Ovis aries: one gene and its partner. The protein of the gene in region 1 binds, or shares a complex with, the protein of each later gene. Links are inferred from orthologs where the notes say so. Each region holds a gene or a part of one and is shown on either strand. Other genes may lie near its edges.

Evidence for each region.
Region 2: the proteins of FGFR2 (region 1) and FGF8 are in contact, whole or in part, in a crystal structure (PDB 2FDB), measured with the Homo sapiens proteins. The link is inferred for Ovis aries from reciprocal best matches to the Homo sapiens genes FGFR2 and FGF8. Residues at the interface, in NP_000132.3 of Homo sapiens: Glu160, Lys161, Glu163, Lys164, Leu166, His167, Ala168, Val169, Pro170, Asn173, Asp247, Val249, Arg251, Ser252, Ser282, Asp283, Ala284, Gln285, Pro286, His287, Ile288, Gln289, Ile291, His293, Leu309, Val311, Leu312, Lys313, Ala314, Ala315; in NP_149354.1 of Homo sapiens: His53, Val54, Gln57, Asp62, Leu64, Ser65, Arg66, Leu68, Ile69, Arg70, Tyr72, Tyr75, Arg77, Gly80, His82, Val106, Glu107, Thr108, Thr110, Phe111, Gly112, Ser113, Val115, Thr148, Glu149, Ile150, Val151, Leu152, Glu153, Asn154.

What each region holds. Positions count from the first base shown.
Region 1 is NC_056075.1:41,084,324-41,088,121, forward strand, and holds part of FGFR2 (fibroblast growth factor receptor 2), read right to left. Parts: intron 3,157-3,798; 5' UTR 3,042-3,156; intron 2,454-3,041; 5' UTR 2,330-2,453; coding exon 2,164-2,329; intron 1-2,163. UniProt on the Homo sapiens protein: Tyrosine-protein kinase that acts as a cell-surface receptor for fibroblast growth factors and plays an essential role in the regulation of cell proliferation, differentiation, migration and apoptosis, and in the regulation of embryonic development.
Region 2 is NC_056075.1:22,294,026-22,298,506, reverse strand, and holds the start of FGF8 (fibroblast growth factor 8), read left to right. Parts: upstream 1-1,637; 5' UTR 1,638-2,356; coding exon 2,357-2,726; intron 2,727-4,481. UniProt on the Homo sapiens protein: Plays an important role in the regulation of embryonic development, cell proliferation, cell differentiation and cell migration. Required for normal brain, eye, ear and limb development during embryogenesis.

The DNA of each region.
Region 1 (3,798 bases):
AGCAACCTTTTTGAGGCGGGTCATCAGAAGGCTTCTGAAGATATCAATATTCATTTAACATTAATAAAGAGACCCTGAAGATTATCTAATCCAGCCCTCAGATGACAGAAAAGGAAACTGAGATCCAGGGGGTTGTGTGCTTTTTCCAAAGCCACCTCTTTCCAGGGTTTTGCACAGCTTCCACTAAACCTTTGAAAAAAACCTCTCACAACTCTGGACGCAAACCTCATAGGAGCTGTGAACCCCAAAATATGACCTCCCGTTTCAGAGAATTCAGGCACCTCCCCTCAACCCCCAAGTGCATTCACAGATGCCAGGCTGGGAAGACCAGCCTCCAACAACACTCACATTGTTGAATGCACATTTCTACACAAAGAACTGCCGGGGGGTACTGCGTCCTCGTCCGTCTCCACCCCCTCCCCATCCCTGCCTCACCTCTTCCTACCAGTATGTGCACATATATTTTTAAATTCCCTTCAATAATTAAAGACGATAAAAAGAAGTCCTCCAGGACCATTTTACACTTTATGTTGAAATAAACTCCCAATCACGCTGCCCTGAAAGTCGAAATGAGAAATGACATTTTCTTCCTAACCTAGGCCATTCCTGGGCTCACACTGCAGGAAACCCTCCTGTTCAGCAGCCTCAGTGTGTGTACTGAGCCATGCACCCCAGGGAAAACCGGCAATTAGAGAAACATCCATTTTAATTATTAGCAAAATTAAAGACGTACAGGCATGACTTTCAGAAACTGGGAACCTTTTCCCTCAAGTTAAGCCCTTTAAACATGCATCCCCATTGCAAGTGACATTGGAGCTCATGTCACCAGGAGGCAGTTCCATAATCCCTGGAGCCAGAGCCTGTGAACACTTCAGACGCAAACTCCTACCAGGTTCCCTACCGGAGACTTGGAAGCCACTGCAGCGTCACTACACCTGTTTACTACAAACCTCCATACCTCTAGGTAAGAAAAAGGGCACAAGCTTCCACTCGCAACTGCTGAGCTGCTTCTAGTAAGAAGCGCCTCCATTTTAGAAAAAAAAAGATATGCCTTTATCCTTGCATGACTCAGGGTCTCAGTGGGAGCCCCCCTCGGATGAGGACACAGCCCTCCCCTCCCGGTCTGGTCCTGGACAGGCTTGCGGTCTTCTTCCGAGCAGGGTCTTTTCCAGAACAGCTGACCGACCCCAGCCCACGCAGGCCCCCAGAGCTCAGCAGGCACCAGGTGGGCTCTCAGCAAACAGGTTCATTAAGTGGCGATGAGTGCTAGGATCTGCCGTTTTATTCTCGGATTACCACTCGAAAAATAACTCAGCTACCAATATTCCCTACTGATGACAGATCTCGTGCGGCACCAAGTTGAGGCTGGGCTACCGACGTCGCGGAAGGACCCAGGAGAAGAGGTTCCAAGTCTGCCTGGCGGGAAAATTCAGCCCTTGTGAGTTTTGTGCTCACAACTGGCCTCATGCCTTTCTGCATGTTCCAAAATGCATAATGTGTTGCCTGCGTGCAATTTCCACAGCTGAAACACCAACGCACACCCTGTTAGATCTGGAAGTTCTCAGAGATTCGGGAAAGGCCCAGGTACATTTCAAATTGACCTAAAATAGAATCTGCTGCTCTGTGACGTGTGGCTTAAGTATTATGAATTACAAGGGCTAAAAAGAATGTAATGTCTCAACCCTCTCCACGCTGAAGTTCAGAAGCTTTCTCTCCTTAGACAATGAAAATAAAATGTCAGCATTTCAGAGGTTGGCAATTTCCCTGCATGACTCCTTTTGCCGGCAAACTGCAATCCTTTACATTGTGAGCAAGACTCTCTCGGGTAAGCAGGGAGTGGTAGATGGCATTCAACTCTGAGCTGCCTGCCACGGCTCTCCTGGCACTGGATGAACTGCCAGCCGCCTCCCTTACCCAGCACAGAGAAAAACGCACACGCCAAGAAACCACCGAACTACACCACCCTGCCCTCAGCGTGACAGCTGAGAACCTTCTCTTGTAATCCCTGGCTTGCAGGGGGCAGAGAGCCACAAGCTCCGCTCTTAGAGGTCTCCTTTACAACGCAAGGGGCAGCTGATTCTCAAACAGGCCTTGACCTCACTGCCACTTCCCCCAGACAAATCCCCAAACTTGGTACCCTGAGAGCGAAATGAGATAACTTACCTTCCGGCTCAACCGTGGTATCGTCAACTAAATTGAAGGAGGGCCGGGCCAGGGACAAGGTTGCCATGGTGACCACAACCAGGCAGAGGAAGCGACCCCAGCTGACCATGGTTACAGTGCCGATCCCCTGTCCTCTTCCATATCTCCATGTGGACGTTAATCCCATCTGCACCCTTCCTCTACGAGCATGGACTGCCTGCAGCAATGCCTTCAGCCGGCGGTGGGCTCAGGAATCAAGGTGCTGCGGCAGCCGCTCGCTGGCCTTGCCGCTGCTGCTGCTGCTGCAACCTCTAGAGGAGAGAGACACTGCAAGTCAGTGAAATCTTCCCCAATACCAATTTAGTTCAACCCAGTTCTCTTTCATCATCTGCAAATACCTTCCATCCGCACCTGAGTCCCAGGGGTTTCCACCAGACCGGTCCACAAAAACGTGTTAGGCTGACGGTTGAGAAAGCCTACTCTTAGGAAACAGAGATAAAAAGAGTAGCTACAGGACCCAGATACGTGCAGCCACTTCAGCTGGGCAAGCGGACTCTCTCCTCCTACCCACTGTCACCTCTCCCGCCCTCCAAAAGCCAAAGCTACGTGACCTTAGTTTCAAGGGCAACTACAAAAGCCAAGTTAACGATGCTCCGGCTGGCATAGCCAGCCTCTTGTTAACTTCTTTCACACCAACTGGGCTTCAGAGGTGTCTGCTTCTGGGGGTTGGAGCTAAGTGGCTTGCTCCACCCTCCCTGGAGCCCTCGGGAGGAAGGGAGACCAGCAAAATAAAAAGAACCCCAGGAAGGCGACCAAAAATTCCCACCAGTTTACACTTGTCAAGATTCATTTTCAAATGCAGAAATGTATTTCAATCTTTTCGCCAAGCAGACACTTACAAAGAATGAACGAGACTGCAATACATTCAAAGCAGCTGATCCAAAAAGAGGTTCAAAGCTTGAATCCCATTCCACTGTGACGAATGGCAGCCCAGGCCTAGTGCGTGTCTTCAAACTAGACAGAGTGCATTAAGAAACAGAGCAGATGCAAACTCCTTTGAATAACACGGGTGTTCATTAATGATGATGATGGTGATGATGATATGTAAATTACTCTCAGGGTAGGTGATTGGGCCAATAACTTTCAATATGCTAACTTACTGACTAAAATTTCAGAACAGAAGTTACCAGGGGGTGTTCAATGTACTAGTCTGCTCACCCATTTAATTCAAAAGCAAAGAGAAATTTCCAAGCTTAAGATAATCCAAGACTTTACATTTGTTCAGTATCAATTACTAAGAATAAGAACCAAAATGCACAAGCTTCAGAGAATTTGATCCAATCACAGATTCTGTGAATTACATATGAAAGAACCACATTTTATAGGATTGAGGGTGGAGGTGAGACCTTTAATATACAAATCTCGAAACCCCACGCTTTCTGCTTGCGGACTTCATGTTTCAGATTATGACTTGGGATTTCAATACTGCTTGAGCGTCCCCAAAGCTACATCAGAATAAACTTTCAGCCTTGACTAAGGATTAGAGTGAGCAAGGGGAAAAGAGGACGCTGCTCCACTTTCAGAGGAGGAAAAAAGAAAGCCTCTTCTTCAAAAGAAAGCACACGTGAAATGGTGTGATTCACAGCAAAAGAAGAG
Region 2 (4,481 bases), about 19 Mb from region 1:
CATGGTTTCCTGAGGCCACCCCAGCCCCTCCAGCCCAATCCCCAAGGACATGGGGGCTGGCAGTAGGGCAGGGGAGGTCTTGGGCAAGGGCAGCAGCTGGGCAAAGCATCAGTGGCTCCACCTGCTCCCTAGAATTTTCCGTCTCAGGGCATCTCTGCCCATCCAAGCTGCTCTCAAAGAAGCACCACACCTCGGGAGTTCCTGAAGCCCCTGGAGGAAGCAATGGGTGGCTGGGAAAGGCTTAGACAACTCACTACCTTCTTTGATACTTCCCCCTCCCCCAGGGTTGACAAAGCACCAGTCCAGGTTTAGCACACAGTAGGTGTGTAAATACCTGTTCAGTGCACAAATAATGGGAGTCTGAGCGAAAAAGACTAGGCAACCTGGATCTAAGCCTCTTTCCTGGAAAAGCAGCTGAGGTTATTTTTGCGCCCACTGCCTGCCGCTTTGGGGAGGGCATGGTGGTGGCAAGTGACTGGGGTTTTCCCTATGGGTGGGCTCTCTCCTTTTTGGGTGGTGTAGTCAGGCTTCAGTCTAGCGTGTTGGGGGCGGGAGGGACAGGAGCAGGGGTGATGGTGATAATGAGGGCAGGAAGCAGGAAAGGAGATGTTTCTCGATCTCAGGGCCTTCTTGGTGACTGAGCGATGCAGGAGAGACCGGCAAGGCAGGGTACTCAGCAGAAAGATGGGGGTGGTTGTCGGCTCCCGGTCTCACAGGCGCGCACTGCCAGAGGAAAGCGCACAAGCGTTCACCCCAGTGTTGGAGGCTACTTGCAGGCGGCAGCCCCAGACAGACAAAGCACACAGTAGGTGGCTCAGAGAACCGCTGTCTAGCTTGAGGCTTAAGCGGACCGGGTCCCACGGTGGAGACCGGGCGCCTTCCCACTCGGGCGCCCGGGGGGTCCAGGAAGCCCCAGCAGAGGGTCTCGGGACTCCACAGGGTGGGCGGCCCGATGCGCCCCCATCCCCGCACGCCTGGACCCCAAGAACGCGCAAGGGGACAAGTCCGGGATGCGGAGAGGGGCCCAGACAGGCAGCCCTCGCCCCTTGCAGCGGGTCCCCAGACCCCTCCCCTCACCCAGACCCCCAATCCCCGACCCTCCGACCGCCCCGCCCCGGTCCGCCCCGCCCCCGCCCCGGGCTGCGTCCGGGCCCCCGCTCCCAGCCGGGGGCTGCGGGCTCCGGCCGCCCGCCCCGCGCTCCCCCCTCGCGCCCGGTGCGGCGCCCCCCGCCCCCACCCCTCCCCCTCCCTTCCCACTTACCCACCCCCCCTGCCGGCCCGTTACCCTCCCTCCCGCTCCGGCTCCTCAGCAGCCAGCGGCCAACGGCTCCGGCTGCGGCGCAGAGGCACTCGGCGCGGCGCGGCGAGCTCGACATTCCCTGGGACCCGCGGAGCTGCGTCCCGATCGCCCCGGCTCCCGGCCTCGAGCCACCCTCGAGCCCCCCTCCGCCGCCGCCGCCCTCGGCTCGTCGGTCCGCTGCCTCCCGCGAGCCGGCGAGATCCCGCCGGGGCTGTGGGTGCTCCCCGGCCGCGCGCCATGGGCAGCCCCCGCTCGGCGCTGAGCTGCCTGTGAGTACCGCCGTCCCGCGCCCCCGGCCGCGCGCCCGCCGGCCCGCCCGCCACTCACCCCGCGCCCCTCTCTCCCCGCCCGCTTTTGTCTCCCACAGGCTGTTGCACTTGCTGGTTCTCTGCCTCCAAGCCCAGGTAAGGCGCACTGCGCCGGGGCCGGCGGGGCACGCCGGGGGGCGAGGTCGGGCAGGCGGGGGCAAGAGGACCGACCCCGCGGCCGCGCGGCGGGCTGGAAGTGCTGGGAAGCATCTTAGAACAGCAACCCCTAACTATCCCGAGGAGGGGTTAAGGACCAGAGAGGTAGCGCCGGCCTCAGGTCACACAGCCTGTGAGCCGCGCGAGGCTAGAACCCGAGGTTTCGGAGTCCGGCGCTGTCTCCCACGCCTCCCAGCCCGGTGGGGGTGGTTGGGGAACTCGGCGGCAGCCAGTCCCGGCCGCGCCGAGGAAGGGGGCATTCGGGGCAGGGGGCGTTCGATGTCAGAGGTCCGGTGACGGCCTCAGGGACCCTCTCCGCGGCTCTCTGGAGAGACTTGCGGCGGGTCTGGCCGAAAGACCAGGTGCCCAGGGCTTCTGCGGTCTCCACATTTGCTCCGTGAATTTGTCTTTATAAATGTCAGGGGTCGGGCCGCGCTGCCTCCCGACTTAAAAGCGCCCTGCTCTTCTAGGAAGGCCCGGGCGGGGGGCCTGCGTTGGGCAGGGAGCTCGCTTCCCTGTTCCGAGCTGGCCGGGAGTCCCAGGGTGTTTCCCAACAGGTGGGTCCAGATCCTTCCCCATCCCGGGCGCATCCATGCTAGACTGGGTCTGTCCGACTTTCCTGGGTAGGGTGGGGGTGGTCCGAACTGGCATGTTGGGGGGACCCCAGCCCCTGCCGGCTGCCTGGGGCAGTGGAGGGAGGTGCCGGGTGATGGGGGCCACTCGGGCCCCTGGGCAGGGTAGCATTATAATGGCGTGTTGTGTATTTTTCAATTTCCTAAAGGTAACTGTTCAGTCCTCACCTAATTTTACACAGCATGTGAGGGAGCAGAGCCTGGTGACAGATCAGCTCAGCCGCCGTCTCATCCGGACCTACCAACTCTACAGCCGCACCAGCGGGAAGCACGTGCAGGTCCTGGCCAACAAGCGCATCAACGCCATGGCAGAAGACGGGGACCCCTTCGGTAAGGAGCTGCACTGCGCTGGGGTTAAGGTAGCCTGCGGAGCACGCCCCTCCTCCCCAGGCTGGCCTGCTGTGACGGGACCCAGCAGTCGCATCTGCGCGCTGAGCTGAGGCCTGTAGGCTCCCCAGCTCAGAAGGGAAGGAGTTAAGCCGACAAACATCTTGGGGGTCAGCTGGAGAAGAGAGGGCTGGGGAAGGGACCCTGGGGAGTACTTGGCCCATAGGTGCCCTTTCCCTGCCCAGCAGATGAATGAATCCAGGAATCTCCCTTTCCACCTCCCCCTCTCATACCCCTCCCCACTGCAGGTGGAGGCAGAGGGTTCAGGGGGAGGGGGCCCAGGTTTAAGGGAAGCTCTTGAAAGAGGATATGTCACCAGGGCCCACAAAAGGAGAGTGGGAAAGAGAAGGGAGAGAAATCCCCTCAACTCTCCCAGGTTGGGGGGGGGGGCGGTGTACTGTGAACCTTAAATACTTTGATCAGGAGGGTCAATTACACATGGGGACTAGGCTAGGAAAGGGGCCTTCCCCACTTCACTTGTCCAGGAACCCAGGCGGTCGGTCAGAGCGGGGCTCCTGGCTCCCGGTGGGGTGGTGAGTACAGGGAGCTACTGTGGGGTGGAGAGGCTGAGGACTGATTGATTTCTAAAACATTCAATATTCCTGCCTTGAAACAAGGCCAATTTCCAGAGTCCTGGATGTACCAAGAGAAAAGCAAGTCCTCTGGGCGGCTGGTGTTGTTTTTAGAGAGCGATTATTGTGAGTTTAAAAACCTTTAAATAATGACCAAGTTAAACAAGCATGAAAGGAGAGGGGAAGACTCTATTAAAATGTAATAAAAAGGTGAAGCATTTTAAGAGCTAAGAAGAAAAATGAAGAATGATATAAAACAGAAAAAGAACGAGCCTTTTTTTCAGATGTGGAGTTTGAAAGGAGTTGCAAGTCTGTAAATGTTAAAAAAGAGGTTCAAGATTGTTCTCTATGAATCTCTGGAGAGACCCCCGCGTCTGGCAGAGCGATTAAAACTCTTCTTACTTTCACCTTTTTTAACATTTCCTGAATACTTTCTCCTCTTCTCGAGCCAGTTTGGGGGATCGAGTATGTCTCGCTGCATTTTTTCTGCATCGACGTAGCTGACTTCCCTTCAAAGCTGGAGAAGGAGACATAATTTTCCTGGGATAAATCTGTCACTGGGGTGGAAGAATAGGTTTGAAAATGTTAAGCTTTCCAAAAGCCCGGTCGGGAAAGCCGCTGTAAACTGCTGCCCCAGCTCCCCAGCTCCATCCAGGAAGGAGAGTGGGGGCTTTCTGCAGTGGGGGTGGGGGTGGGGGTGGCCTGCCCGGTGGCCGAGCTCCCCTGCTGGGCTGGTAGGGCCAGCCTGCCGCCCCTTTGTCCCTTCAAACTGGCTGCTCGTTGCCCTTCTCAGCTTCCAAGGAAAGGGAATGAATGCCTGGCCCCTCCTGGGTTTGCTCCATTGGAGCAAATGGTCCAGCATCCTCGGGGTTTGGGGAGCGAAGAAGAAGAAGCTAAGCTGGTCATGGGGGGATTCATCTTCAGACATCAGAGGTCTGATGCCCACTTCTCTTCTTACAGTTATAGGAGGCTTCCCAGGTTCCCTGGTCCCTGCCTGGTGGGCAGGAGCAGGAGCTGGAGGGCCCAAGAGCAGAGGCTTAGGGTGTATAGCCAGGACAGGTAGAATCTGGGGGAGAATGGCAGAGAAGTCCCAGGGGCTTCCTTATGGGTCCCAGGAAGGGACAGA